Linked DNA regions of Ovis aries. The protein of the gene in region 1 purifies or fractionates together with the protein of each later gene. This does not show direct contact. Links are inferred from orthologs where the notes say so. Each region holds a gene or a part of one and is shown on either strand. Other genes may lie near its edges.

The links.
Region 2: the proteins of FGFR1OP2 (region 1) and STRN3 purify together in Homo sapiens (affinity purification with mass spectrometry; 5 studies listed by BioGRID and IntAct, with this or other methods). This does not show direct contact. The link is inferred for Ovis aries from reciprocal best matches to the Homo sapiens genes FGFR1OP2 and STRN3.
Region 3: the proteins of FGFR1OP2 (region 1) and STRIP1 purify together in Homo sapiens (affinity purification with mass spectrometry; 3 studies listed by BioGRID and IntAct, with this or other methods). This does not show direct contact. The link is inferred for Ovis aries from reciprocal best matches to the Homo sapiens genes FGFR1OP2 and STRIP1.
Region 4: the proteins of FGFR1OP2 (region 1) and STK24 purify together in Homo sapiens (affinity purification with mass spectrometry; 4 studies listed by BioGRID and IntAct, with this or other methods). This does not show direct contact. The link is inferred for Ovis aries from reciprocal best matches to the Homo sapiens genes FGFR1OP2 and STK24.
Region 5: the proteins of FGFR1OP2 (region 1) and PPP2R1A purify together in Homo sapiens (affinity purification with mass spectrometry; 5 studies listed by BioGRID and IntAct, with this or other methods). This does not show direct contact. The link is inferred for Ovis aries from reciprocal best matches to the Homo sapiens genes FGFR1OP2 and PPP2R1A.
Region 6: the proteins of FGFR1OP2 (region 1) and STK26 purify together in Homo sapiens (affinity purification with mass spectrometry; 4 studies listed by BioGRID and IntAct, with this or other methods). This does not show direct contact. The link is inferred for Ovis aries from reciprocal best matches to the Homo sapiens genes FGFR1OP2 and STK26.
Region 7: the proteins of FGFR1OP2 (region 1) and STRN purify together in Homo sapiens (affinity purification with mass spectrometry; 4 studies listed by BioGRID and IntAct, with this or other methods). This does not show direct contact. The link is inferred for Ovis aries from reciprocal best matches to the Homo sapiens genes FGFR1OP2 and STRN.

What each region holds. Positions count from the first base shown.
Region 1 is NC_056056.1:188,458,376-188,461,875, reverse strand, and holds part of FGFR1OP2 (FGFR1 oncogene partner 2), read left to right. Parts: intron 1-3,338; 5' UTR 3,339-3,340; coding exon 3,341-3,475; intron 3,476-3,500. UniProt on the Homo sapiens protein: May be involved in wound healing pathway.
Region 2 is NC_056071.1:39,429,698-39,433,728, reverse strand, and holds the start of STRN3 (striatin-3), read left to right. Parts: upstream 1-1,231; 5' UTR 1,232-1,548; coding exon 1,549-1,830; intron 1,831-1,956; exon of another isoform or gene 1,957-2,091; intron 2,092-4,031. UniProt on the Homo sapiens protein: Calmodulin-binding scaffolding protein which is the center of the striatin-interacting phosphatase and kinase (STRIPAK) complexes.
Region 3 is NC_056054.1:87,345,645-87,349,697, forward strand, and holds the start of STRIP1 (striatin-interacting protein 1), read left to right. Parts: upstream 1-1,253; 5' UTR 1,254-1,265; coding exon 1,266-1,445; intron 1,446-4,053. UniProt on the Homo sapiens protein: Plays a role in the regulation of cell morphology and cytoskeletal organization. Required in the cortical actin filament dynamics and cell shape. Part of the striatin-interacting phosphatase and kinase (STRIPAK) complexes.
Region 4 is NC_056063.1:74,810,233-74,813,732, reverse strand, and holds part of STK24 (serine/threonine-protein kinase 24), read left to right. Parts: intron 1-2,537; coding exon 2,538-2,723; intron 2,724-3,500. UniProt on the Homo sapiens protein: Serine/threonine-protein kinase that acts on both serine and threonine residues and promotes apoptosis in response to stress stimuli and caspase activation.
Region 5 is NC_056067.1:58,174,942-58,178,278, forward strand, and holds the end of PPP2R1A (serine/threonine-protein phosphatase 2A 65 kDa regulatory subunit A alpha isoform), read left to right. Parts: coding exon 1-138; intron 139-1,388; coding exon 1,389-1,531; intron 1,532-2,197; coding exon 2,198-2,289; intron 2,290-2,418; coding exon 2,419-2,435; 3' UTR 2,436-2,837; downstream 2,838-3,337. UniProt on the Homo sapiens protein: The PR65 subunit of protein phosphatase 2A serves as a scaffolding molecule to coordinate the assembly of the catalytic subunit and a variable regulatory B subunit.
Region 6 is NC_056080.1:102,852,749-102,856,855, reverse strand, and holds the start of STK26 (serine/threonine-protein kinase 26), read left to right. Parts: upstream 1-1,307; 5' UTR 1,308-1,442; intron 1,443-1,544; 5' UTR 1,545-1,653; coding exon 1,654-1,695; intron 1,696-4,107. UniProt on the Homo sapiens protein: Serine/threonine-protein kinase that acts as a mediator of cell growth. Modulates apoptosis. In association with STK24 negatively regulates Golgi reorientation in polarized cell migration upon RHO activation.
Region 7 is NC_056056.1:87,162,962-87,166,461, forward strand, and holds part of STRN (striatin), read left to right. Parts: intron 1-2,468; coding exon 2,469-2,644; intron 2,645-3,500. UniProt on the Homo sapiens protein: Calmodulin-binding scaffolding protein which is the center of the striatin-interacting phosphatase and kinase (STRIPAK) complexes.

The DNA.
Region 1 (3,500 bases):
CATCTCAAATCTTTCACAGCTTTCTCTAGACTTTGCTTTTTTATTTTCTTTCAACATCTGTTGCAACCATTTATTTTTACTGTAAGACATTTTTTTCTGTTTTTAAATGTAATTTTACTCTAAAAAAATCTGATGTTCTATAGTTAGTGGAATTGATGGGAGATATGGAGATATAGGGGCTTCCCTGGTGGCTCAGATGGTAAAGAATCTGCAGTGTAGGAGACCCAGGTTCAGTCCCTGGGTCAGAAAGTGGCTAACCACTCCAGTATTCTTGCCTGGAGAATCCCATGGGCAGAGGAGCCTGGAGGGCTGCAGTCTGTGGGGCCACAAAGAGTCAGACACAACTGAGCAACTAACACTCACTCAGAGAGAGATGAAAGTAAAGTGAAAGTGAAGTCGCTCAGTCGTGTCCGACTGTTTGCGACCCTGTGGACTGTAGCCCGTCAGGCTTCTCTGTCCATGGGATTCTCCTGACAAGAATACTGGAGTGGGTTGCCATTTCCTTCTCCAGGGGATCTTCCCAACCCAGGGATCGAACCCGGGTCTCCTACATTGCAGGCAGACGCTTTATCCTCTGAGCCACCAGGGAAGCCCCCCATAGAGATACAGTGAATTCTCCATAGAGATACAGTGACCCCCATATAAATAAGAAAGCTGTACTGTTGCCTAGCTCTGCTGCTGCTGCCAAGTCACTTCAGTCGTGTCCGACTCTGTGTGACCCCATAGACGGCAGCCCACCAGGCTGCCCCATCCCTGGGATTCTCTAGGCAAGAATACTGGAGAAAGCTGTACTGTTGCCTAGCTCTAATTTTAGGTAATTCCAGAAGGGCAAGGCCTTGTTGGAGGACATCTTAGATAGATTTTAATGACTGTCCTTTCGTGTTTTAACCTACAGTAAGAATTGGTTCCTTTAGTGGCCCCTTTTGCTGTTGTATTTTGAAGTGCCCTTATCTAAATCTCCTAAATCTTTGAAGACAAATATTTTGGTTGTTTTATCTAGAGAGACAGAAGTTGTATTAATTTCCAGCTTAATTCTTAAAGATCTCTGGAAATGTCTGGTCATATAGGGAACATTTTATAAATTGGCAGTTTTATTTTATTTTGATTAAATCTTTTTATTCAGCTTTGAACCTGTTTATAAAAACAGGACAATATACTCTCTGCTTCAGCTGTTGGGTACAACCAAGAATACTGTTTGAATTTTTTTCATCTTTATTTAATTTGCAATTTTTAATCTTTGCTAGGTATAATCTTAATGAAAGCCTGCTAAAATGGTGGGATGTGTTGTATTTTCTTTCTTTTAAAATGTTACACAGTTGGGTTATTTAAATCTCTTGCTGCATTTTTCTGTATCTGAGGGGCTAACAATTAACCTAACGAGTCCCATGTAGTAGTATCTTAAAAAGACCTATATTCTGTCTTCCTAAACTTGGTGAAAATCCTTAATTATAGCCCTTAACTTTGTTCTACACATGAGTTTTAATTTAATTGCTATAGATTTGGCTTATGACATAGAAACATTACAAAGTAATTTTATTTTTTGAGAAAATCGTAAAGGGTGGCTCGTATATTAACAGAAAATAAGGCAAAACAGTAGAAAGAGAAAAATTCAAGAGTGATCAGTGTCAGAATGTTAAAGTTTTTGAGAGATTTTAAAATAAAAATTTTGTTTTGAGGTCTCGGCGTATCAGTTGAAGAAGCTAACTGTTGGCTGTGTTATGTTTTGTCTCCTGGCCTTTCAGCCTCTTTTATACATTTGAGTCACTGACTTTAACGTATCAGAAGCTTCCCGTAATGGCCAGTGTTGCTCTAAGTTAGCACTTCCTTTGCCATTTACTAAGGAAAGTGCGAGAGTTAGAATTACTGAGAATTTTCCTATGAGAAGCTGAAGTTCCTCCAGAAGGAGGTTGATCCTTTAGTGTAGCATGACACGTAGAGGCCGCTTTGCCTGGTTAGTAGTGTACGTTTGTGGATGGTGTCTGAGGTCACCTGACCAAGCGGAGGCTAGGAGGGGTCATATGGTCGGAGACCTGACAGTCACTGACTGCAGAATACAAAATAATAAAATGACCTTTTTTCACAAATGGCAAGATAGGGATTGCCCTCACGAAGAGTGCAATTTCTATATAACATTCAGTTCAGTTGCTCAGTCTTGTCCGACTCTTTGCAACCCCGTGGACTGCAGCTGCCAGGCTTCTCTGTCCATCACCAACTCCCGGAGCTTGCTCAAACTCACGTCCATCGAGTCGGTGATGCCATCCAACCATCTCATCCTCTGTTGTCCCCTTCTCCTGCCTTCAATGTTTCCCAGCATCAGGGTCTTTTCCAGTGAGTCACTTCTTCCCATCAGGTGGCCAAAGTATTGGAGTTTTCAACTTCAGCATCAGTCCTTCCAGTGAATATTCAGGATTGACTGATTTGATCACCTTGCAGTCCAAGTCAAGAGTCTTCTCTAACACCACAGTTCAAAAGCATCAGTTCTTCAGTGCGCTGAAGAATCCACCTACAATGTGGGAGCCGCGGGAGACATGGGTTTGATCCCTAGGTTGAGAAGGTCCCCTGCAGAAGGGAATGGCAACCCACTCCACTATTCTTGCCTGAAGAATCCTATGAATAGAGGAGTCTATATAACATAAAATGTATTTAGTGAATGTACACTTTTGTCCCCACTGTATATTCAGGGTGTTTTAAATACGTTCTGATTTTGTTCTCAAACTTATATATATATATATATATATACATATATACATGTATATATGTATATATATATATATGTAAAGTAAGTAAAGTCACTCAGTCGTGTCCGACTCTTTGTGACTCCGGGGACTGCAGCCCACCAGGCTCCTCAGTCCATGGGATTCTCCAGGCAAGAATACTGGAGTGGGTTGCCATTTCTTTCTCCAGGGGATCTTCCCAACCCAGGTCTCCCGCACTGGAGGCAGACGCTTTAAACTCTGAGCCACCAGGGAAGCCCTATGTGTGTATATATATATACATACATACATACATACATACATATATATATATACACACACATACATATATATATAATGTGTATATATAAACACATATATGTATATATGTAGTATATAATTATATATATTTATATATGTTGTGTATAATTTCTTGAATATTATAAAATCACTTTCAAGTTTGTTCCATCTTAACAGGATCAAAACCACATGTGTTCTTAGATGGTTTTCATCCTGAGACAGTGAACGATTCAGTAACAAATATAGCTTAAGCATAATGTGTGTTAAAGTGGAACTAGAATAAGATTGATATGCCAGCTTTCTTTTGAATCTGTTTTTCGTTTTTAACCCTGTGTATTCCTTTAGAAATGAGTTGCACCATTGAGAAGGCACTTGCTGACGCTAAAGCCCTTGTTGAAAGGTTGAGAGACCACGACGATGCAGCAGAATCTTTGATTGAGCAAACCACTGCTCTCAATAAGCGAGTAGAGGCTATGAAGCAGGTTTGATTTTTTTTTCCCCCTGTTG
Region 2 (4,031 bases), on another chromosome or scaffold:
TACAGAGTGAAGTAAGCCAGAAAGAAAAACACCCATACAGTATACTAACGCATATATATGGAATTTAGAAAGATGGAAACGACAACCCTATATGCGAGACAGCAAAAGAGACACAGATGTATAGAACAGTCTTTTGGACTCTGTGGGAGAACGTGGGGGTGGGATGATTTGAGAGAATAGCATTGAAACATGTATATTATCGTATGTGAAACAGATCACCAGTCCAGGTTTGACGCATGAGACAGGGTGCTTCGGGCTGGAGCACTGGGATGACCCAGAGGGATGGGATGGGGAGGGAGGTGGGGGAGGGGGGGCTCAGGATGGGGAACACATGTACACCCATGGCTGACTCATGTCAATGTATGGCAAAACCACTACAATACTGTAAAGTAATTAGCCTCCAATTGAAATAAATAAATAAAAAGATTCTGCTATGAATGACAATATTTGTGAGCCCCATTCACTTCTAAAACGTCTGTTAATCAGCCTCCTTTAAGTTTTCTTTCTCCCTCTATCCACTATCAAGATCTAAAGTTTTTCACCTTCCCTTCTCCCAAGAGAAAAATGAAAACAATCGCTCCTGCTCCTCTCTCAAACGCCCCAAACACAGCCCACCCCAGAACTGGAAAACAGTGAGGCAAAGTGGTACAGGTTGCAACTTGCGACTGGGGGGAGCACAGACTTTGGAACCAGAGCCCGGAGACAGGGAATCAGTCTTCACTTCCTAGAGGATCTGGGCTATTTGTCAAAAGAGAACGTCCCCAAAGCCCCGGGAACTGACTGGTGCTAGGAAACCAGAGAAAGAGCGGGTGACAAGCAGAGAAAGAGGCCCGATCCTCTGGGACTGCCAGAAACACGCAAGGAATGCAAAAGAAACGTCAGGAATCCGGGACCGGCTGCGGCCGGCTAGAGGGACCACTCAGGTTAAAACCCAACTCCGAAGGCAGAAGCGCCTCTGAGACTCTTGAGTGGGAAATGGCGCTGAGTGGATTGGCTGAGCGAGGGAAACCCACTCCTGAAAAGGCAGAAACCGACTCCCTCCCAAATGTCGGAGACGGTGACCCACAATCCGGTCCCGGCCACCAGACACCTCCAGCGAGCCTGGGGGCTGGCCTAGGGGCGGGGCCGAGCTCTTTCTCCGCCTCTAACGGCAGGCCGACTGCGTCCTCAGTACGCCTGCGTAGGGTGAGGCCGGACTCTATTTGGCTAGTAGGCGAGCGGCGGCATCGGCGTTCTCTACCCAGCATGCTGCGCGGGAGCGGCGGCCCTACGTCTATCCCCTTCCCAACCCTGCCCCCGCTTCCCACTCCCGCCGCGGCCCCCCCTTCCCCTAAAGTGAGTGAGTGAGACGGGCAGATGGAGGAGGGACTGTAATGGCGGCGGCCGGCAGCTCCCTGCTCTGACCCACGGCAGGCATACAGCAACGACCCCCTCCCTGCCCCTCTCTCTGCCGGCCTCCGCCCCGCCGCTAGCGCGGGGCCACCCTCTCCGGCCCTTCCCCCAGCCGTCGGCGTCTCGCCCTGCGCCCCGGCCGGGGCCCCACACACAATGGACGAGCTCGCCGGAGGCGGTGGTGGCGGCCCGGCGATGGCGTCCCCTCCACGGCAGCAGCAAGGACCCGGGGGGAACATGAGCCTTTCGCCAGGGGGGAATGGAGCGGCGGGCGGCGGGGGTCCTCCGGCCGCCGAGGGAGCGGGTCCCACGGCAGGCCCCGAGCTGTCCCGGCCGCAGCAGTACACTATCCCAGGGATCCTGCACTACATCCAGCACGAGTGGGCTCGGTTCGAGATGGAGCGGGCGCACTGGGAGGTGGAGCGGGCCGAACTACAGGTACCTCGCTGGGGTCGGTATGCGGGACGGCTGCGGCGGCTGGGTTCCCGGCCGGGGGTGGGGGGGGTGGGGCCGGGACTCCCCTCATTCGGAACTCGAGGCCTTGGGAGACCGAGAGGAACCTACCTGTGCAGCTCGGGGGGCGATAGTCCTGGAGACGGCTCTTCTAGAACCCCCCTCCCCCTTTCCCGCAGAAGCTTGTTACCCAGACCTCACTGGCTGCGCGGTGCGGGCTTCCTTGGGGCAGCCATTTTGGCTTTTAGTATGGCGTCTGCGGGGGCTCCTCCGGAGGCGTTCTGCGCGGGCCTCCGGGGTTTGGGGCCGAGTTCCTCTCTGTGGGAGAATCCGGCGTGGGGCTGTCGGGCACTGCGCTGGCTCCTGTTTCTGCCTCTTAAGATGGAGAACCCGAGGAGAGGGACTGGGTTGGGGATTTTACCACCTTTTCCCGGATCACCCCCCTGTTTCCGATTTGGCGTGACTGCCCCCCTCCCCCGGAGTTGGGAGCCCTTACTCTTTGACAGCCACGCTTCTTTCCAGGGCTGCTGCCGCGCACAATGGCTTGCGGCTGACCTGTGAAGTTTTCATTTCCTACCGCCAACTTTTAAGTACCTTTTTACCTGGGATGCTGCCTTATTCACTTCGATTCCCTTTGAGTTCGTCCTTAGTGACTGACTCATCAACGCTGCTCTGTACCGACTTTTTCTTTTAGAGTACCCTTCACCAGGCCTTCCTCTCCTCCATTCCCATCTTTACACACAAAACGCCAAACCAGACTATCTGTGCCGTCCTCAGGAAACGATTGAGAAAAGATTTAATGTTAGCTTGGAGTAAAACGTATTTGTTTCATGTTACCAGCTCGCACAGGGGCAGCAGAGTTAAATATCCTTAGGAGCCTTCATAATTGAGCCGGACTCGGTCTTAAGGTGAAACTTTTGAGATATTGGTTCACCTAACTTTTGGAAGATGTTGGTAGTTTAAGGGCTTATGTCTTGGATTTCAGAAGAGCTACATCTTTTTAACAGGATTGTTCAACTCTTTCGGATGTTTGTGTTTATTTTAAAATCACTTTCCAAGGCAAATTTAGGCTTAGAAGGAAAAAAGCAGGCATCTAAATAGTGCTGCACCTGTTCTTCAGACTGCTGTATATTTAGAGTGTATGTGGTATTGTTCACTGATATACGTGTCATATATGTCTGGGGTGAATGATTAGGGAAATGTAACGTTGAAAGAAGATTGGATTAGCTTAAAAGGGTTGTCCTGAAACAAATACATATATCTTCAGTTTGATATTGAACCAGTCGACTTTTTGTCTCTACAAAGTGGGGAAAGTCAAAACTTTTTAAAAGTAAGACATATATTTTGACACTTTATCAAAAAAGTGAATTCACTTTATCAAGTTGGCAATTCAGCGTTTTAGTGCTTTGATACACTATTGGGCTTTTAAAAATATATCAAAAGTGTTGTTTCTTTTCTGTGTGCTCTGCTTTAAAATATCTGGGACAAACAATTCTGTTGATGAACAACTTTCTATTAACACCATGTGCAAAAGGCATTTATTTCTGAAAACTGCATTTACAAATGCATTGAAGCCTAGGCTCACTAAATAATACTTCACCAGTCCCTAATACAGCATTTATAACCTTTGTACTGTTGTGGAAAAGCTTTAATTTAAACACTTTCTAAGTTAGTGAAAACATTAGTCATTGGTAAGCTTCACAAAATGTCTTACTTGTGTCTGAATTAGTAAAAATCTGTGCAACTTGAGGTCTACATTGTTTACCTTAGCTTTTGGTTTGCCTTCTAATTCTCCTCTTAACAGAAGTCTTTTAAGGAAAATTCATTTTGCTTGCTTGCTTTCAGTGTATCTACTGTTGGCACATTAGTTCGGATATAGCCATTTTAAACTTTTTGTTTACTTACTTTGAAGAAGTTATACGGTGTTTGTCTAGACTCTTGATTTTTTTCCCCCTAGGAATTTTTATTATGTCACACTGATTCTTTTGGAACAAAATGTTCATGATTGTGTGTTTTTCTTCTTTATATTTCTCTATAATGTTTTATTGGGCTACTTAGTTAATTTGGAATATTGAATTTGTTTTACATGTCCAAAGTCTTTAGTAAGAATGCTTGTGAGATGTCCATTTTAAAATGTATGGAAAATGTATTGGGAGAGTTTACATGAAGCATGAATAGATTTAAAC
Region 3 (4,053 bases), on another chromosome or scaffold:
ACATGTCCAAAACAGACATCTTGATCTTCCTCCAAACCTATTTTCCTCTGACTTCTCTATTTTAATAAGCAATACAACCACCCACCCAGCTGCTCAAGCCAAAAATTTAGGACTCATCCTTTATTCCTTCCTATCCTGCTGATAGGATTCCAGTCTTTCAGCAAATCTACCTACACAATACAGAAATACCACATCAACCCAATGTTCCAACCTGGCGTAAGACACCATCATTTCCATCTATATAGTCTCTGAACCTGTCCACCCTCACCTACTCTTGCAACACCCCAATGCTTTCTCCAAAAGCAGCAGCAGGTCAGCACTTTCTGATGGTTTTCCATTTTACTTAAAATAAAATCCAGAGTACTTTCTATGCTTTTCTAGGCCCTATATTTATCTGGCCCCTGCATTTACACGGCCCTCATCTCCTACTGTTCTTCTCCTGGCTCACTCAGTTCCTGCCAAGCCACCTAGGAGGCTCTGCAGTTAGCTGGTCCCTCTATGTTACCTCCATGGATATTGGCATGGCTCTCCCTCACTTCTTTCAGAACTCATTCAAAATCACTCTCAGCCCCTCCTTCCCTAAGCAGCCTACCTAACATAGCCCAGCTGTACCTCGATCACTGTCACCTTCCAATGCCTTACAGTTTCTTTCGTTTCTTCTCAGCACTTATTTGTGAGCGCATTGTCTGGCTCACCCACAGGCTCTATGTTACAGATCATTTCACTTTTTTCATTAGTGTAGGAACTTGATTTTGTTCCCCATTCTCTTGCACTGCCTTTAGTCTAAGAGACATTCATTAAATGTTTGTTGAATGAATGATTAAAAGAATGTCGTAACTGTAATTGTTTCATTGATTTACTCATTCCTTTCCCACGTCTCCCCCACGTGAACGTAATCTCCATGAAGGCTGGGATCGTGTCCATTTTGTTCTCTACAATATCCCGCAAGCTTTGGACAGATCTGTGAAAGTAACAAGAGCAAAGCGATGTTAAAGGAAAGAGGGGGGTTCCACTAAACTGGCTGAGGGGCTAAGGGAGGTTTTGCAGATAAAACTGCGATCTCTAAACTGGAACCGAAACACAAACTAGAAGGGTAAGATTTCACAAACAGAGAAAATCTCGCGAGGTGTTGGACAGTCAAGATGGCGCTGGCATGTGCCGCCACACTTAATATGGCGACCAGGGCGCGTTCCGGGACGAAATCACGCGAGAGTTGCATCACAGCCATAGTCAGTGAATTGAGCCGGGGGTGTGGAGCCGCCAAGATGGAGCCGGTAGCCGGCACTCCCGGCCCGCTGATCATGAACAACAAGCAGCCTCAGCCGCCGCCACCTCCGCCGCCTGCAACCGCGCAGCCTCCACCTGGGGCACCGCGGACCGCCGGAGGTCTCCTGCCTGGTGGCAAAGCCCGAGAGTTCAACCGCAACCAGCGAAAAGACTCGGAGGTCAGGAGCTTCGGGGGGCGAGGCTAGCACCAGGCGGGCGGCGGCGGTGGACCCCGGCCCCATTTCTGGGCCACTTTCGGGTCCAGGCTGGGTTTCCTGGAGGGTTCGGCAGGGGAGTTGTCATTTACAGCGAAAGGAGCAGGAAGCAAGGCTGACATCCCCGGGAGTCGGAGGCGTGAAGCTGGGGTCCCCGACCCGAGCTCTGCCGACCGGGAGAACCTCCCGGAGCCCGTATTGGCTTTTCTGAGGTCCGGGCTGTGGGCGCGGTCTCCGGGCTCCAGCCCCTGGGAAGTCCGCCCCGTGCCCCATTTCTCGGGTGAAGAGTCAGTGACCTGCGTGCGCTCTAGAGGGCGGGGCGGCTACACCCCAGACCCCCTAATCATCTCCAGCTTCTGGTCCTGTGAGTTCCGCGGCGCACGGTGGCGGGCATGTGTGGGCTGGGAAAGGACTGGCGAGGGTTGGGAAGGCACCTCCGAGAAGGACTGAGCTAATTAATTAGCACTAATAGTATCAATACTACGCGCCTGTAGGTCGCGATGGTTGGAAAGGGGAGCAGTCTTGTTCTGCTCTGAGCTTAGCCACTGCAGATTCAGGCCACGGTTAGACAGTGCCCGGTGGTTGGTGTGCCCAGTCCACCCGATGCTCAACTGTTAAAGATCAGAAATAAATTAAACAGGCGTTGAGGCTCAACATCTCTCTTCTCTTGTTTAGTGGGCTGTTCCTCCCATTCCGGAGACACCGTAGTCTGGAGCTGACTAGTCACCTCACCCCGAGTTGAAGAATTACTCCCACTGCATTCCATTGTAGAATTCATGAATGAAGACACACACGTAGCAGCGTTTTAGGGCTTCTTAATCAGCATGTTCCCAGAGCACTTACTAGGAAATTTCTTTCACCTGAGACAACCCTGAGGCTGATTAACAGTCAGATGCTTATTAATGAGAGGGCATTTTTTCTTGTCCAGATATAATGTATCAGGTCATACCTGAGTGATGATGCTATCTTTAGACACCTGAAATCAGTACCTCTCAAGCTCTTGGTTTTGTTGGCAAGAACAAACCTCTGGTCAAACATCAAAATTTGACAAGTTCCAGTCAGATGCACTTTGAGCTTGAAGTGAATTATTTGAAAAAGCAATGAAACCGACCTTTTAGTAGCCCTTGCATGATGGGCTGATTGCACATCAGTGGTGACTGCTTAATAATTTTTCAAGTATGGAGGATTTTAAAAGTGGTAGGGATGAATCCAGTTTCATCATCAGAGGCATCGTAGTTGTTCAGTAGTTAACAATTTTCCTAAGTGTTTCTATTAAATGTACTTTCTACCCTTTAATTTCTATATAGATTCAACACATGGAAGGTCATTCAGTGAACACATTTAAGCTGAGAGACCTGTCAGAATCTATTTTCTTAGAAATACTGATACAGCTCTCTTTTGAGTCAAAGCTGAAATCAGTAGGCTGGGAGCCAGAGGCGTGCCTGCAGAACAGGGAGGCAGGTATTTGACGAGAGCCCACTGTGCGGCATCGTTTTAATTAGTCCTTAAAAAACCTTCAAGATAGATTTTTGTCATCCTCATTACATAAATGAAGAAACTGAAGCTCAGGAACTTATGAAACTGTGCAGCCTGTTGCCTCTGAATAAGAAGTAGAGTTATTTATGTTACTCATGTTTGAGGGTATGTTATGTCATTTTGTGGGTGGTCATTGTCTTCCCAAGTAGATAGTAATTAAGCTGAGGACTACCTTTTTCTTCACCTCTGTTCTTTTCCCAGAACAAGGCTTCCCAGATGGTGTGTTCTCAGTACTCACTTATTTCCAGCAGTAAAAAGATTCTTTGCCATAATCTCTCCTATGTGTGGGAGGGAAACCATTTCTGTTCAGCTGCTGCCTTCTCTGTCAGTTCTTGCTGAAATTTGAGAGAAAGGCAGGAAGACTGAGGGTGTCAATACTTATTTTGTACTGAGCTGTTGATAGCCCACTTGCTAAGTCACTTCAGTCGTGTCCGACTCTGTGTGACCCCATAGACGGAAGCCCAGGCTCCCCCGTCCCTGGGATTCTCCAGGCAAGAACACTGGAGTGGGTTGCCATTTCCTTCTCCAATGCATGAAAGTGAAAAGTGAAAGTGAAGTCGCTCAGTCGTGTCTGACCTCAGCGATCCCATGGACTGCAGCCTTCCAGGCTCCTCTGTCCATGGGATTTTCTAGGCAGGAGTACTAGAGTGGGGTGCCATGGCCTTCTCCCTGATAGCCCACTAGCCAGAAAGAAACGAGGCTTCTAAAGCCTTAGTACCATGTGGAATGATCATTTCATTGCATGGAACACATGGAAGCTTTAGTGTTCATTTATCCAACAAGTTGTTATTTGAGTATATGCTCTTCATTCAGTCACCCATGCCAAGTACTGTGCTGAGCATTGTGAAATCATGGGTGAGAAGAATGGACACTAAACAGACGCACAGGCGCATGTATAATTATGAGTTATGATAAGTGCCATGAAGGAGTAGTGCAAGGGGCTCTGAGAGGGCTTGGTAGGGAGAGCCGAACTAACCCAGAAGACAAAACATTGTGAGAAAACGTCAGAACAGTGAAGGCAGCGATGTGCTGTAAC
Region 4 (3,500 bases), on another chromosome or scaffold:
CTTTTCCCTGTTTCTCTAAGGGGAAGGATGTCCGTGGGTGGGCTGGACTGGGGCGGGGACCTTGCCCCCTTCTGTGCTCATTCCCTTCTGCCCTTGCTGTAGCTGAGCCCAGCGCCATGCCAGGTGATTGACGCTTCAGTGAGCCAGTGCGGCGCTGGGCTTCAGGGGCTCTGATTGTGAGCTGGTTCACGGGGCCGAGAGGGTGTCGGGCTGCACAGATGCGGGCTTCTCAGCCCTTCAGAGACAAGCTGGGAGGAGAGGAGAGACATTTGTGCTGGAATGTTGATCGACTTCCCTGCTAGCAACCCCTGTGGAAGCTGAGCGGCCAGCACTGGTGTTCTCCTTGTAAACAACTTTCCCCTTTTTTGGTCTCAAAAGCAGCACTTAGTCTTTAATCTGGAAAATACTGGAAAAAATGAGCGAAGGGGAAAACATCTGTAGGCCTAATACCCAAGCACAAGCTAAGTTATTTTGGTGTCCAGTCGCGTCCGAAATAACTGTTTGCAGTCACCATGGTGAAGGATGAAAACAGGTGATGTGTTGATGGAAAAATAAAGATGAGTGGAGACACGGTAGGACCGGCCCATCTGTTGGAATGTGTACAGCCAGCTGGTCCACTGGGTACGTGACCAACCCTCCCGTCCCGATGGCAGCCCATGGCCTCCCCGGCTCAATCCTCAGGGCCAGGAGTTCCCACCTCCTGGCTGGGAGGGATGCACTTTGCACACAGGGGAAGGATGTGAGCGGAGAAAGAATCCAGCTTTGTCCAAGCGTGAGGTAATGGTGGGGCCATGTATTGCTACGGAGTCGGTCTCAGACGGTTTCAATACCTCTCGTGCGACTTAATGTGTTTCTGAATATTGCATCTTATTGAATAGTTTCTATTAAATCCATTTTGGGCTGTGTTTTAACTAGTTATAACTGTTATTTGGGATTCTCCATTTTTTTTTTTTTCTCCTGTCTTCCTTTTTTTTTTTTTCTGGCTGCCCCGCACACTGTGTGGTATCTTAGTTCCCTGACCAGGGATCGAACCCATACTCCCTGCAAGGGACCCATGGATTAACCACTGGAAGTCCCCCTCTGTGGTTCTTCATAGAATATTTTCTATACATAAATTTTTTTAATACATAAAAAAAAAGTTGTATTTCGTCTGCAGAGGTGTAGCCAGGTGACTTTTGCTTAACTAAGTGTTACTGCGAGGATTTTGAGAGCTGCTGTTGGTGCCCCTCTTGGGTCCCCTCACCCCCACTGCTCATCAATAACGGATAATTCTTCGTTGTCACTTTTAGGAGAATGCTCCCCAGGACTAACCACATACGGAAAGAAAATCTGTTCACAAGTAAATATCTGCAGTTCAGCTGTGATTTTTTTTTTACTTAGTCTCATTTTTGAAAACCACTGTTGGTTTCCCTTAACAGCTGATTTCCCAAACGATGGTAAAACAGGTCTCCTCTTATACCTCAATTTTAGTTGCTTGAAAAATGATTGCCCTCTCCCATATAATTCTTATTTTAAAATTCAGACACATTTTAAAATCTGATGTTGTAAATCCTAGATACCGTAATAGACAAACTCAGTTGATTCTCTATCAGCATCAGTGTTGAATATTTGATACTTCAGTCAAGTTAATGTGTCATAGCAATATAGTCATTCTTCTAAGGTTTTAGCATAAGTAATGCTGTTTTTGAATATTTTAGGCATCCCTTACCATTTTCTAAATATAAAATTTATTTAGGATCGATTCCTAGACGTGAAATTAGTTGGCTTTAACAAGTGTGGGTATTTTTGTGACTTTGACTGCATAATGCCAGATTGCTTGCCATTTATTCAAGTGCCAGTCAGGGTTTCCAAGTTAGTCAGCAGGATGTTAGATATATGCAGGCGGAGCCTGCAGTCAGGAAGACCACTCTGGAGCCCCTCATGGAGCCCTAGGGACAGAAGACATTTCTGAACTAAGCCGGAGGCAGGAGGGGTAGATGGGGACTCAGGGCGCCAAGAGGTCAAGAGCCACACACCTGGCAGCTGGTTGATATAGGAGGACCAAAGAGAAGTTCCAAGGGTTGGGCCCAGGCTCCTGGCCTGGCCGCCTGGGAACAGGGATCTCATTTCATCCTGTTGTGGCTTAAGGGCTGGCTTCTAAGCATCTCTGGACGTGGTGGCTGCAAACGTGCTGTGGTCCCCAGACATGCCGTCTCCACTGACCTCAGGTTGCCTGTCCTGTTGACTCAGGGACTTAAACAAACGTGGAACGTCTCCCACCTCTGGCAGCAAAGGGAAGAGGTGTAATCATCAGAGCCAGCTTCCACGTCGAGGCAGAAGATGATATTATTACATGTCCTCCTGTGTGTTGCCTTTTTTGAAGTTACACCAAAGGCTTTATCTTTAACAAATTTTTTTCAGTTAAGAATGAGTATCTTATTCAAGACCTCAGAAGCACATTAGTTTTTGGTTTTGTTTTTTACCTTCTAGGAAGTACGTTTCTTTGAACCGCCTCCCCTCCGAATGTGTAACTAACTAGCTGTGTTTCGCTGTTGCAGGCGGACATCTGGTCCCTGGGCATCACGGCCATCGAGCTTGCCAAGGGGGAGCCGCCGCATTCCGAGCTGCATCCCATGAAGGTCCTATTCCTTATCCCAAAGAACAACCCCCCGACGCTGGAAGGGAACTACAGCAAACCCCTCAAGGAGTTCGTGGAGGCCTGTTTGAACAAGGAGCCGAGCTTTGTGAGTGTCTTGACCTGGGAACGGGCATCTCCCCCCATGGGGGCCTGATGGGTCTGGATGCGTCTTAGTGGTCTGTTTTCCTTCTCTGCTTTCAGCTGTCTTCATGATCTCATTTCTTTTTCTAAATGGGTATGATTGATTTTTTTCTGAAGTGGAAATGCTTATTGTTATTTTATCTTTTTAAGGCTTCAAAGTCTACTTACCGTCTTTCAGATTTTCTGGTATCTCCTACCGCATTGAGCTTTGAAGACTGTTCTCCTTAATATTCTATGTGGGATCATACATTTTTAATATTTATAGTGGAAGGTTGGGCTATTTTTAGCTGTTGGCGTATCTGCAAAGTCCGGCCTGAGAAACAGTGGCTAAGTAAGTCTTTAAAGTAAACGTTTTCGGTTTCTTCTTGGCATGTGTTAGGAAGGGAAAGAGGAATGAGATGTAAACGTAGTCCCGCCTTGCTTTCCCCTCTTCCTTCTGACTGTCTCTGCTTTTGAGTTGAATCTGGCAGAGCCATGTGGCAGAGATGACTGCATGGCTTCAGCCTCATTTTCTCTCTGAATTAGGATATTTCTTGCAAAGTTGTCTGTGTATTTTGGTGTTGCATGTCACACCGTATGTCCTTGTTGGGTTTCTGAATTTTCCAGCAGGGTTAGCCACAGGTCAGGCTGAAACTTCTAAACTCATATCCCCACCCCCACCCCCCCATTCCCTACAAAGAACTCTTATCTAAAAATATGCTTTTGTTGTTCAGCTACTCAGTCGTGTCCAATTGTTTGTGAC
Region 5 (3,337 bases), on another chromosome or scaffold:
GCGGCCACCAGCAACCTGAAGAAGCTGGTGGAGAAGTTCGGGAAGGAGTGGGCCCACGCAACTATCATCCCCAAGGTCTTGGCCATGTCTGGGGACCCCAACTACCTGCACCGCATGACCACACTCTTCTGTATCAATGTGAGCGCCCACCGGCCCCCACCTCTCCCTGGGGGAGGGGAAGTAGACGGGAGAGGAGGAATGGAGAAGGTCCTCGGGGGAAAGCTGGCTTGGGAGTAGGAAAGTGATGGGATCTGGGGCCGTAGGGGTTAGTCCTTGGGGAACTGCAGGCTGGAACTTGGGGCTCCCTGGTCAGAGTATAGGGCCTTTGCAGGTGGGGACCTGCGTGGGGGTGACTGGGGAAATTTGGCCAACAGAACAGTGATGGCCAGGTCTGTCTGAGCACCCCCTCCTTCCTCACAAAATAAGTGATATTTATGATACAACGGTTAAAGCACAGTTTCTAGAATCAGACCTACTGTTTAATTCTAGCTCTGCCACATATTGACTGTGCACCTTGAGAAAATTACTTAGTGCCTCAGTTTTCTCACCTGTAAAGGGTTCATACCAACAATCACAGCCCCAGACTCCCGAGGCTGTGACATTGATCTGGTTATACAGCTTAGAACAGTGGTTCATATGTAATGTATGGTGTGTATGTAATATGCATATGTATAGTGTGTATGTAATACATAACGTATGGGGTGTGTGTGTGTGACACGTAACGTATGCTGTGTGTATATATGGTGTGTGTGTGATATGTATGCTGTGTGTGTGTGGTATGTAATGTATGGTGTGTATGTGATGCATATGTATGCTGTGTGTGTGATATGTATGCTGTGTGTGTGATATGTATGCTGTGTGTGTGATATGTAAATGTGTGATAAATAAATACAGTAGAAAGTACTGATAGATAAATACAGTAGAAAGTACTTGTATGTAGTCACGTAAATAAACCATACACTTAAATAAACTTAAAACCACTTAAACCACATAACTACAAATTAAAGAATGAGATTTAAAAGTTAGCATAAAATTGTTCCGGTAATCCCTTCCTGTGCATCACTCTGGAGACCACAGCACTAAGGAAGGGATCCCAGGGTCAGGAATCCAGTCCCATCCCCAGAGGATGAGGGAGACTCTGAGGAAGGGAGCTGGGGTGGGACAGTGTGGGCTGGGGGTTTTCAGGGCAGGGAGATGGTGGAGTGAAGAGGGTGTTAGGGAACCTGGGAACTTGTGGAGAATCAAGGCCCTCAGGCTGGGCGAGTCTGAGCTCAGAGTCCCCCTGATGCTCAGCTAGTTTTATCCCCAAGCCCGATGGCCACTAAGTGTCCCGGTCAGAGGGAGCGAGGACTCTGGGGAGTCACCCTCTGCTGCTCCCTGGCCTGCAGGTGCTGTCCGAGGTCTGCGGGCAGGACATCACCACCAAGCACATGTTGCCCACCGTGCTGCGCATGGCCGGGGACCCTGTCGCCAATGTCCGCTTCAACGTGGCCAAGTCCCTGCAGAAGATCGGGCCCATCCTGGACAACAGGTGAGGCCTGCCCCTCCTCCACACACGATTGCATTTGTATCAACTTCAAAAATGGATCAAGGGGGACGCAGGCGATGGAAGTGAGAATGGTGGTTATTTTGGGGGAAGGGCCTTGGGACGCCTGCACCTGTCTGTCCAGGACACAGCTTCACCCCTTAGCTTCTCTCTGAAGACCGCCTTCGTCCCCCAAACAGCTGACTGCCGCTGCAGAAGCATTTCCCTCGGCCCTTACCTCCCTGGGCCCCTGTAGGGCCGAGTCCCTCCCTCAGGTGCTCGCCTCTCCTGTTACTTGTCAGCAATTTGATCTGCCTTCTCCCAGTCTGGGCTCCGTGTGGGTGAGAGTCAGGAGGGTTGGGTTTTCCACTGTGTCCACACCTGATGGGCAGTAGGCCTCGGTATATAATGTTACACAAATACAAGGCGTCACGTGGCCGAGGCTCAGAGACTTGAGGGTTCTGGGTTTTCTGCCCCACCTTTCCACACCACCTCACCTCCCTATACCTATTCTGGGCCCCCGAGGCCTCTGTCCTGGTTTGTGAGACTTTCAGCCTTCCAAGTACTGGTTGCTCTGGCCCTGAGAGCTCTCGTGCACCTGTGTGTCTGCGTCTGTGCAGACACCCAGCAGCCCCACCTTTCTGACCCCTCGCCTTTCCCCTCTCTTCCCAGCACGCTGCAGAGTGAGGTCAAGCCCGTCCTCGAGAAGCTGACCCAGGACCAGGACGTGGACGTCAAGTACTTTGCCCAGGAGGCTCTGACTGGTGAGGCGTCAGGAATCCGAGACGCTGGCAGGAGCGGGTGGGGGTCTGCGAGGGCGATGCTTGGCCTGGGAGCGGCTGTGGGCAGCGGGCTGGCTGCCTTCTGACTCCCGTCTCTTCCTGTTCCCCCAGTTCTGTCTCTTGCCTGATGCTGGAAGAGGAGCCACCGCCAGCCTCCGGTGTCCGCCCTCCCCCTCCAGGCTCCTCCCTGGGGGGACAGTGGGGGCCTTTGGCTGTCACTCCCTGTGCATGGTCTGACCCCAGGTCCCTTCCCCGGCACGGTTCCTCCCTCAGCCTGGGACATCCACCCCCCCACGGGGCTGGGGGCGCACAAGGTGGGACAGAGCAGAGACCCTGGGAGGAAGGGGCCACTCCCGCCCTTTGGGGTGAGGCGGGAGCATCCCAGGTCGCCGGCTCCTGCTGCTGTATGGGGACCCCTCCCCCATCTCCACCTCCCTCCCTTCCTCTCGGTGGGTTTTTTGTGTCAATTGTGCTGTTTTTATTTTATTCCCTTGCCCCCCTTTTCACAGAGAAATAAAGGTCTAGAAATAGCTGGTCCTCTGGTCTTAGTCACTAGATGGAGAAGGGGGCACCACCTCAGGGCCCCAGCCTTGCGCTTCTGTCTGGCGAGGACTGACTGGACTTGCCGCATCCCTGTCCTTGCGAGTGAGGAGGATTCCCTGGGAAGCCGATGGGAGTGCCCCTGGCCCCAGGGGCCAGCGGAGTCCTGAGGTGCACTTAGGTTTCACAGAGGCTGGCTGAGTGTGTGGTGGTTAGAGCAGGTGCCTTGGTGCCAGACTGCCTGCGTCCAGATCCTTGTCCTTCCATTAATAGCTGTGTGGCCTTGAGTAGGTGCCCAGTCTCAGATTGCAGGACTGTAAAATGGGGTAACAGACTCTAGATTGAGCGGGGCAGGAATGAAGACTAAACGAGGTAATACACACAGCGTGGGCAGTGATTGACGCGTGAGAAGAGTGGGCCAGGAGCTCTCAGGATCATCAGGGCCGCGGCAGAGCAGGCTGGGGACTGTGGCTAGACAGAACCACTGGTT
Region 6 (4,107 bases), on another chromosome or scaffold:
TTCCCAGCCCTCCCACTTCTTAATTATGTGATATTTGGGTCAAATTATTCAAGCTCACTGAGCCTTTTTTTGCATTTCAGTAAAATGGAAGAAAGGTAATATGACCTCAGAGGGCCCTTGTGAAGATTCAGTAAGGCAAGACACACACACACACACACACACACACGCACACACACACATAGCACTTAGCGGTCCCTGACAGAAAATGGAACTCATTAACGATAGCTAAATATATTGATAACAATGACATGCTATCTTTTGAGACAGATTCAAAAGGAACAAGAGAAACATTTCTCGTCTGCCAGAGCCCCAACACCATGGTGGGTACAGCCCTACAATAACCTGCAAGTCAGGGAACTCCATCCTCATTTTAAACTGGCACTTGTGGTTTCCCAAAGGTGCCTTCCTAATGAGATGACTGCAATTGCTATTATTATTATTTTTAATCTCGTTACTGTTAGGTTACTCTCCGAAGAGTCTACCTCCCTGCTGGAGTGGAACTTCAAATGGGGTGGAGGCAGGGACTTGCCGAAACCACTGCTCTGTATGCTGAATTCAATAATACGTCCTGCGAATGACCCAATCTCATTTCCCAGGCCTCTATTTCCTCATTCATTTTTCTGCCTAGGTGCCATCTGTTTTCCAACTTCCGTCTCTCTTACACGTGCTTGTGATGCGGAGAAGCCCCAGTCTGATCGCCCTCCCCCACAACCGCCCAACTGGTAGCCCAAGAGGTAGGGGTAACCCCAGTTCTAAGGCACCTGAAGCCTGACGGGGGGCGGGGAATCCGGAAAGAGGAGAGCGGCCACGGACCCCGCCCAGCGGCGCGGCCCCAGCTGGGGACACGCGGGGGAGAGCAGGGGTCCGCTGACTCGGACTCGGCGGCTCTCTGCGCCCCCGCCCTCGACCACGTCGAGGACTCGAGAAGGAATTCCGACGCCCGCCAAGTTTCAACTCAACACTTCTCCGAGGCTGCGCCGCCCGTGCCCTCGCAAGCCTGCCTGCAACGTGGCCGCGCCCGGGACGCCCTCGGACCCCGCGGGTCACCCGAACTCTTCCCTTCTCTCTCCAGGCCGAGCCGTGCTCCACGCCCTCCAGTCCCCGAGCTCTCCTCTCCGTGGGCCAGGAGAGCCTCCCTCTTGTCGGGCTCCAGGAGCCCCAGCCGAGCCCCTTCCCAGCGCAGTCCTAGCTCTCCTGACACCGCCCGGCGGCGGGGCGGGGGCAGGGCCAGCGGCGGAACCGCCCCCAACCGCCTCCCGGGCCCGGCGAGCGGGCGGGTGGCTGGGGCGCCTCCACCTCCTCTTCCTAAAGCGGCGAGGCGCAGACGAGCGGCATCACTGGAGCCCAGGTCCCGGCCACTGCCACACACGGCGTCGGGCGCTCAGGAGCAACAGCAGCGGCAGCGGAGGCGGCGGCCAGAGCGGCGGGCGGGCGCCAGAAAGGTAGACTGAGTCCCGGGGAGCCTCGCGGCGGACCGCCCACCTCCCGGCCCCGGGCCGCGCGCGCCCCCCGCCCTGTCACCCAACTCGTGTGTGTCCTTCCAGGCCCGGGTCGAAAAGCCTGAGAGGGCCGCCGACCTACCCCCGGAGGAGGAGCCAGTCGCAGCCCGAGGCGCCGCCGCCGCCGAAGCCGCGCGGAGCCGCTTTCGCCTTCATGGCCCACTCACCGGTGGCGGTCCAAGTGCCCGGGATGCAGGTGAGGACGCCCGGGCCGCCCCCGCCGTCCACGTGACTGCCCGGGAGCTCGGGGCGCGCTCCGCGCTGGGCGCCGGCGACGAGAGGCGGCCCGGGGCTTCCCCGACCGAAGCCGGGCCGGGCGCTCCGGCCAGGTGACCCGGACGGAGAGCTCTCGGTGTTTCCCGGCGTGTAAGCTAGGCGGTGCAGTGTGCCGGCCGGGCGCGGAGGGACTGGGGCGCGCGGCTCTTTGGGGATGCCGGGGGCTGCGGGGGGGGTGTTAAAACAGGCAGGGGCGGGACACCTGCGCCGGCTGAGCTGGTGCGCTTGTGGGGGTGGGAATGGAAGCACTTCACTTGGAAGAGATGGAGGTGTCTCGGAATTCGTTGGGTAAAACGCAAGTGGTGCTTACACACACACACAAGTTGGGGCGGAGCAAGGCAAGGGGGTGTCGGTGGTGGCGGCTTTGAATTGGGCTCTTCCTGTGTGCGTAGAGCAAAGAGCGAGGTGACTTTTTTCCCCTTTTGGGGCTGCTGCTTTGGGGCCAAGTTGTGTCTCGCTCCCCCCACCGGGCGCAGCCCGTAGTGGGGTGTGAGAAACGCAGGGTCCTAAGTTAGAGCAGCGGTGGTGATGACTCTCCCGCCCCCGCCCCCGCCCCCGCCCCCGCCCCCGCCCCCGCCCCCAGCCTTTCCCACCGGAGGGCTGTGGCAGTGTGGTTGTTGCAAAGCTTTTTGTCCTGGACGACAAGATATTACGGCCTGGGACCTAACTTTTTATCTTTTACATCTTACCAGCCCTCCCCCCTTACATTTTCATTTTATTAAAGAAGAAACAAGCTATGTCCACAAACTTTCTGCATTGTTAGGTTTTTGAATCGGTGCATTTCAAGCTATCTACTAAATGTTATCCAAGTTGAGTAGCTTTTAAGCATTCACGTTTTATTTTTTTTCCTTTGCTAGACAGCCTAAACACCCCCACTTATGAATAGGTAAAAGACTAGAAGCACTTAAGCCTCATTATCTTCTAAAAATGTGAAAGCAAACGTTTTCTAAGTTCAGAAAAAAATGTTTGGTAAATAGCTATGTTGCTAGTAGAAATCAAAGCGCCATGGATTGGGGCCTTAATTTACTAAATAATGCATGGAATTCATCTTAAAAAAAATAACAGTTGGTCATATTTGATGCATGATCACACGAAAAAAGTGATTTTTAAAGTGCTTTCCCCCCAAAGGACTGTTTGTATCGGACATATATCTAACTTAGGACTCCTGTGTGTCCTAGGCACCAGGCCTTTCAGCTAAATATAGGATAAGTCTGGGTTGAGTCCCAGGAAATCGATGTAGTTCATTAAAAAAAAAAAAAAAAAAGAAAAGGAAGCAAAAGGGAAATGCGAGACATTAGGGCCTTTTAAAAGGTTAATCCATTCAAGCTTTACAAAATGCCTCAAACTTCCTTCTTCTCACGCCACCCTCTCCTTCCCTCCCTCCTTCCCCCCAGCCACTGCCCCTCACCCCATTCATTCAGTTCTGCCTTTGATTATGTCGAGAGAATTAGTAGTTTGCCTTATCAACTACAGTTTTGCTCTGTCTGATGTGGAAGAAAGTGGGGAAACTTTCCCACCGTGCTCTCCTTTCCTTTGGGGAGTAGAAGAGTCCGCATGTGAAGTTTGTCTCTGAGTGTCTCAGTACTCCTCGCTCCATTGTGTGCACGCGCTGCCTGCGTGCGTGCGTCAGCAGAGTGAGCACCTCCCGATCAAGTTTGATTCTGGGGAACCCTGCGTGCTGAGGAGAAAATGGTTTCTGGTCTTTATTTCATTTGTCTTGACTTTATTTGATTTATATGGTTTCTGGTCCTTATTTGATTTGGCTTTATTTGATTTACATGGTTTAGGAACTCCTTACTGTTCAGTATTTCTTATGGCTCCTTGCTTTGTTTCATTATCTGATTTCCCTATCTTTTGAATTTTTTAATTTTTAAAAATCTTCATTAAGGTGGGTTAGAATGTGAGTCTCATATTTTAAATGATAAATTCTGCCTTTCATTTTATTCCTACCCAAAGTTGTGATGGCTTTGGGAAGGGCAATCATCTCAACATTTGCCAAGAAGAGAGGAATACTTGTCACTGTCTCTGTCTGAATGAAATGGTAAATTCTTACCTTCTTATTTCCATGCTCTCTGTAGATGTGGTTCTTAAGCATTTGGGGCAACAAACAGGTTTTCCACAGTTAAAATTGTGGGGTATCCTAAAAACAAATTTGATGATTAGCAGCGTGACTCTCATGCCTAGACTACTGTGACTATTCTTTTGTTTAAAAGTAGTGAAAATGAGATGCAGGAATATATCACGAGCTTGTAAAAATTTTTTCTGCAAGAGTTAGGAGCAACTTTTAGATCTTCACAGTAGTGAGAAAACTTGAGTTAGCCATGTGTTCCTG
Region 7 (3,500 bases), about 100 Mb from region 1:
TCCTTTTTTCATAACTTAATTGTTAGAAAACTTAGTGTTAGTCTGTCTCAGTTTCTAAAAGTAGTTCCTAGTTTTATTAAGCATATTAGCAATCTATTGCTGCATAACAACTTGTACCACATTTAACAGCTTAGAAGAACAAACGTTGATATCTCACAGCTTCCATGGGTCAGCAGTCTGGGGACAGCTTAATTATGTGACTGGCTGTTTGTATGGTTGTAATCAAGACATTGACAAGGGCTGCAGTCTTACCTAGACTTGACTTGGGGAAAATTGCTTCCAGGCTCACTCATGTAGTTGTTTGAAGGCCTTGGTTTCTTGCTGACTGTTGTCTGGGAACCAGTTCCTCACCGCATGGACCTCTCTGTGGGCTCCTCAACAGAGCAGCTGGCTTTTCCCAATGTGAGTGCACCTAAAAAGATAGGGAGCAGAAACACTCGAGATGAAAGGTTTTATAACCTAATTTTGGAAGTAGTTTATTCCAACTTCTGCTGTATGCTGTTGATCACAGAGCATGCCTATAATGTGGAAGCGTGAAAGTGTTAGTTGCTCAGTTGTATCCAACCCTTTATGACCCCATGGACTATAGCCTGCCAGGCTTCTCTGTCCATGGGATGCTCTGGGCAAGTATACTGGAGTGGGTAGCCGTTTCCTTCTCCAGGGAATGAACCTGCGTCTCCCACATTCCAGGGAGGTTCTTTACCATCGGAGCCATCAGGGAGGGGGACTACCCAAAGGTAAAAATAGGTGGGGCTGACTGGGAACTTAGTGGCTGCCTACCACATCAAGATAATCAAAGGAATTTAAGTACTCTTCCACATGAAAACCTTTTAGCTCTTTTATAAGAATAAAAGAGGTCAGCTCGGTTGCCCTTGTCGTCCTAACCTTCCTGCCAGCCCTGCCTGCCCTCAAAATAATCGGCCCCATTCTTAGAGTAGTTCCTTGCATAATGTGTTTTGTTTTCACTCATTGCTTCCCAGGTGGCGCTAATGGTAAAGAACCTGCCTGCCGGTGCAGGAGACAAAAGAGACCTGGGTTTGATCCCTGAGTCCGGAAGATCCCCTGGAGGAGGGCATGGCAACCCACTCAAGTATTCTTGCCTGGAGAGCCCCATGGACAGAGAACCTAGTGGGCTATGGTTCATTGGGTCGCAAATAGTCAGACACAACTGGAACAACTTAGCACGCATGAATTGCCCCAGTTGTGACATGTCCTGTCCAGATTTCTCTGCAGATTTTTAAATGTCTGGGTTCTAAATTACAGTTTAATAGTATAGCCTCTGAAACCAGATTGCTTGATTTTGAATCCTGACTCCTCCATTTACTAGATGGCAAGTCACTTAACTTCTCTTTCCCTAAAATGGCTAGTCTGTAAAGTGAGGATACTGTTAATTCCAACATCATAGAGTTGTGAGGATTAAGTGAGTTAATGCTTTTTAAGTCTTTTGAATAATGTAGAAAATAATGAATGCTGTATAGAATATCAGTTGTTGTATCATTGATAATTTTTGTAACTGTGAGTATGGTAACATTTCTCTAATATATTACAAATACTTGCTTAAATCTACCATGATTGTTAGCCTTGGAGTGTGAAGTTCATCCATGGTGCTTGTGTAAAGTCAAACACTATCCTCTTTAGCTTTTCTATTAGTTGGAATGAAAAAACAGTGCATTATTTTTTCAGTTATTGAGATTGAGATTCTGTGGAGAAAGTGAAAGTCACTCAGTTGAGTCCGACTGTTTGTGACCCCATGGACTGTAATCTACCAGGCTCCTCTGTCCATGGGGATTTTCCAGGCAAGAATACTGGAGTAAGTTGCTGTTCCCTTCTCCAGGGAATCTTCCCAACCCAGGGATCGAACCCAGATCTCCCGTGTTGCAGGCAGATTCTGTACCATCTGAGCTACCAGGGAAGCCCTCTGTGGAGAAAAGGAACATAGTAAATATATAATTATGTTCGTAATATCTGATTGTCTTTTCCAATTTTAACATTTTGTTGTCAGTATATAAACTTCATTACCAATTTGAAGAAAATTTAGCTCTTGTCTGAAACCACTGAAAACTTTGAAAGTATCATCATATTCTGTAATGTTAACATGCTTAAAGATAATTTAGTTTTTCAACTCTTAACCAGAATTGCTTTATATTCTATAATTCAGGTTTAAATCACTTGTCTTTTTAAAAAGCATCCTAGTGAAATTTTGTTTTTTGTTACTAAGTTATTTGATCCTCCTTCTATACTGAATTATGTATTTTCTTATTATAGCATTCATATTTCTTCAAAGAAAACCATTGTTGACATATTGCTAATTTTGCCTATTGATTTGGTTATCTGCTTAAAAATTACATTATTTTGAAAGTTGCAAAATAATGGTAGTTTAATGATGAAACAGTAAGAATTAATGCTGAAATACAGTTTTTTCCCTCATTCTGAACTAAGTATATTGGTATCTTTTTTTTCTTTAATAGATAGCAAATAATAAAGATGCATTGAGGAAGACATGGAACCCCAAGTTTACATTAAGAAGTCACTTTGATGGTATTAGAGCTCTCGCTTTCCACCCCACTGAGCCTGTTTTGATAACAGCATCAGAGGATCACACGTTAAAAATGTGGAATTTGCAGAAAACAGCCCCAGCCAAAAAGTGAGAATATTCTACTTTAACTGTATTTGAATAATTTAATTAATATTTTTCAGCAGAGAAAGCCTTACTTTATTATTTGCTGTTAAATTCCTCAAATATCTCTTCTAATTTTTTTCCTTACCATGTTATGTAATTTAGGATGTTTTTGCCTTCATACTCATAAGCTAATTTAGGTTGAAAAACTGACCCTTAGGGAGAAATGGTTTGTGAATGCTGATTATAATCTTTATTTGGTGTTTTAAATAACTTAAATTTTGAGAACCCTTTGTCTGCGCTGGAGGTTTCTGTTGTTGTAAGCAGGCATAGTCATGTTTAAAACCGTCAAACCCCAACCCCAATCCTTCCCCATTGTTTACTAGGTTTGGCCTTATGCTGGAGCCGGTGGGGGCAAGAGACCTCTCTTTGATCCTTTCTTTTGATCTTGACCAAAATGTCTAGACTGAAGGGGTACTGTTGCTGCTCTCACTTATCTGCTAAACTTCCCTTGGCCCCTTGGTTCCTCTGTAAGCACGGACAGACATGAGTTGGTATAAACCCCTTTTATCAGTCACCAAGCTAGTCCTGATCCCACTTGGTACTTTCTCTTTCTTCCTTGGATTACGTGGTCCAGAACCCAGCATCTACCAGCAAGGGCCCTTCTACAGTGATAGATACCTCTTTTTATTAAAGAGTAGAAATGAACGTCAAATGGAGGAGAGGACAGAAGTTTTACTACTGACAGAGAATATCTCCTGCCCAATTTGAAAACAATCAGTGACATTCCAGCTGTCACACCTAGACGTTCATCAGACAGCTCAACTGGATATTGCTAAAACCAAGTGAATCTTCATGTAGATCAGGTGTCTTTAACAGAGAA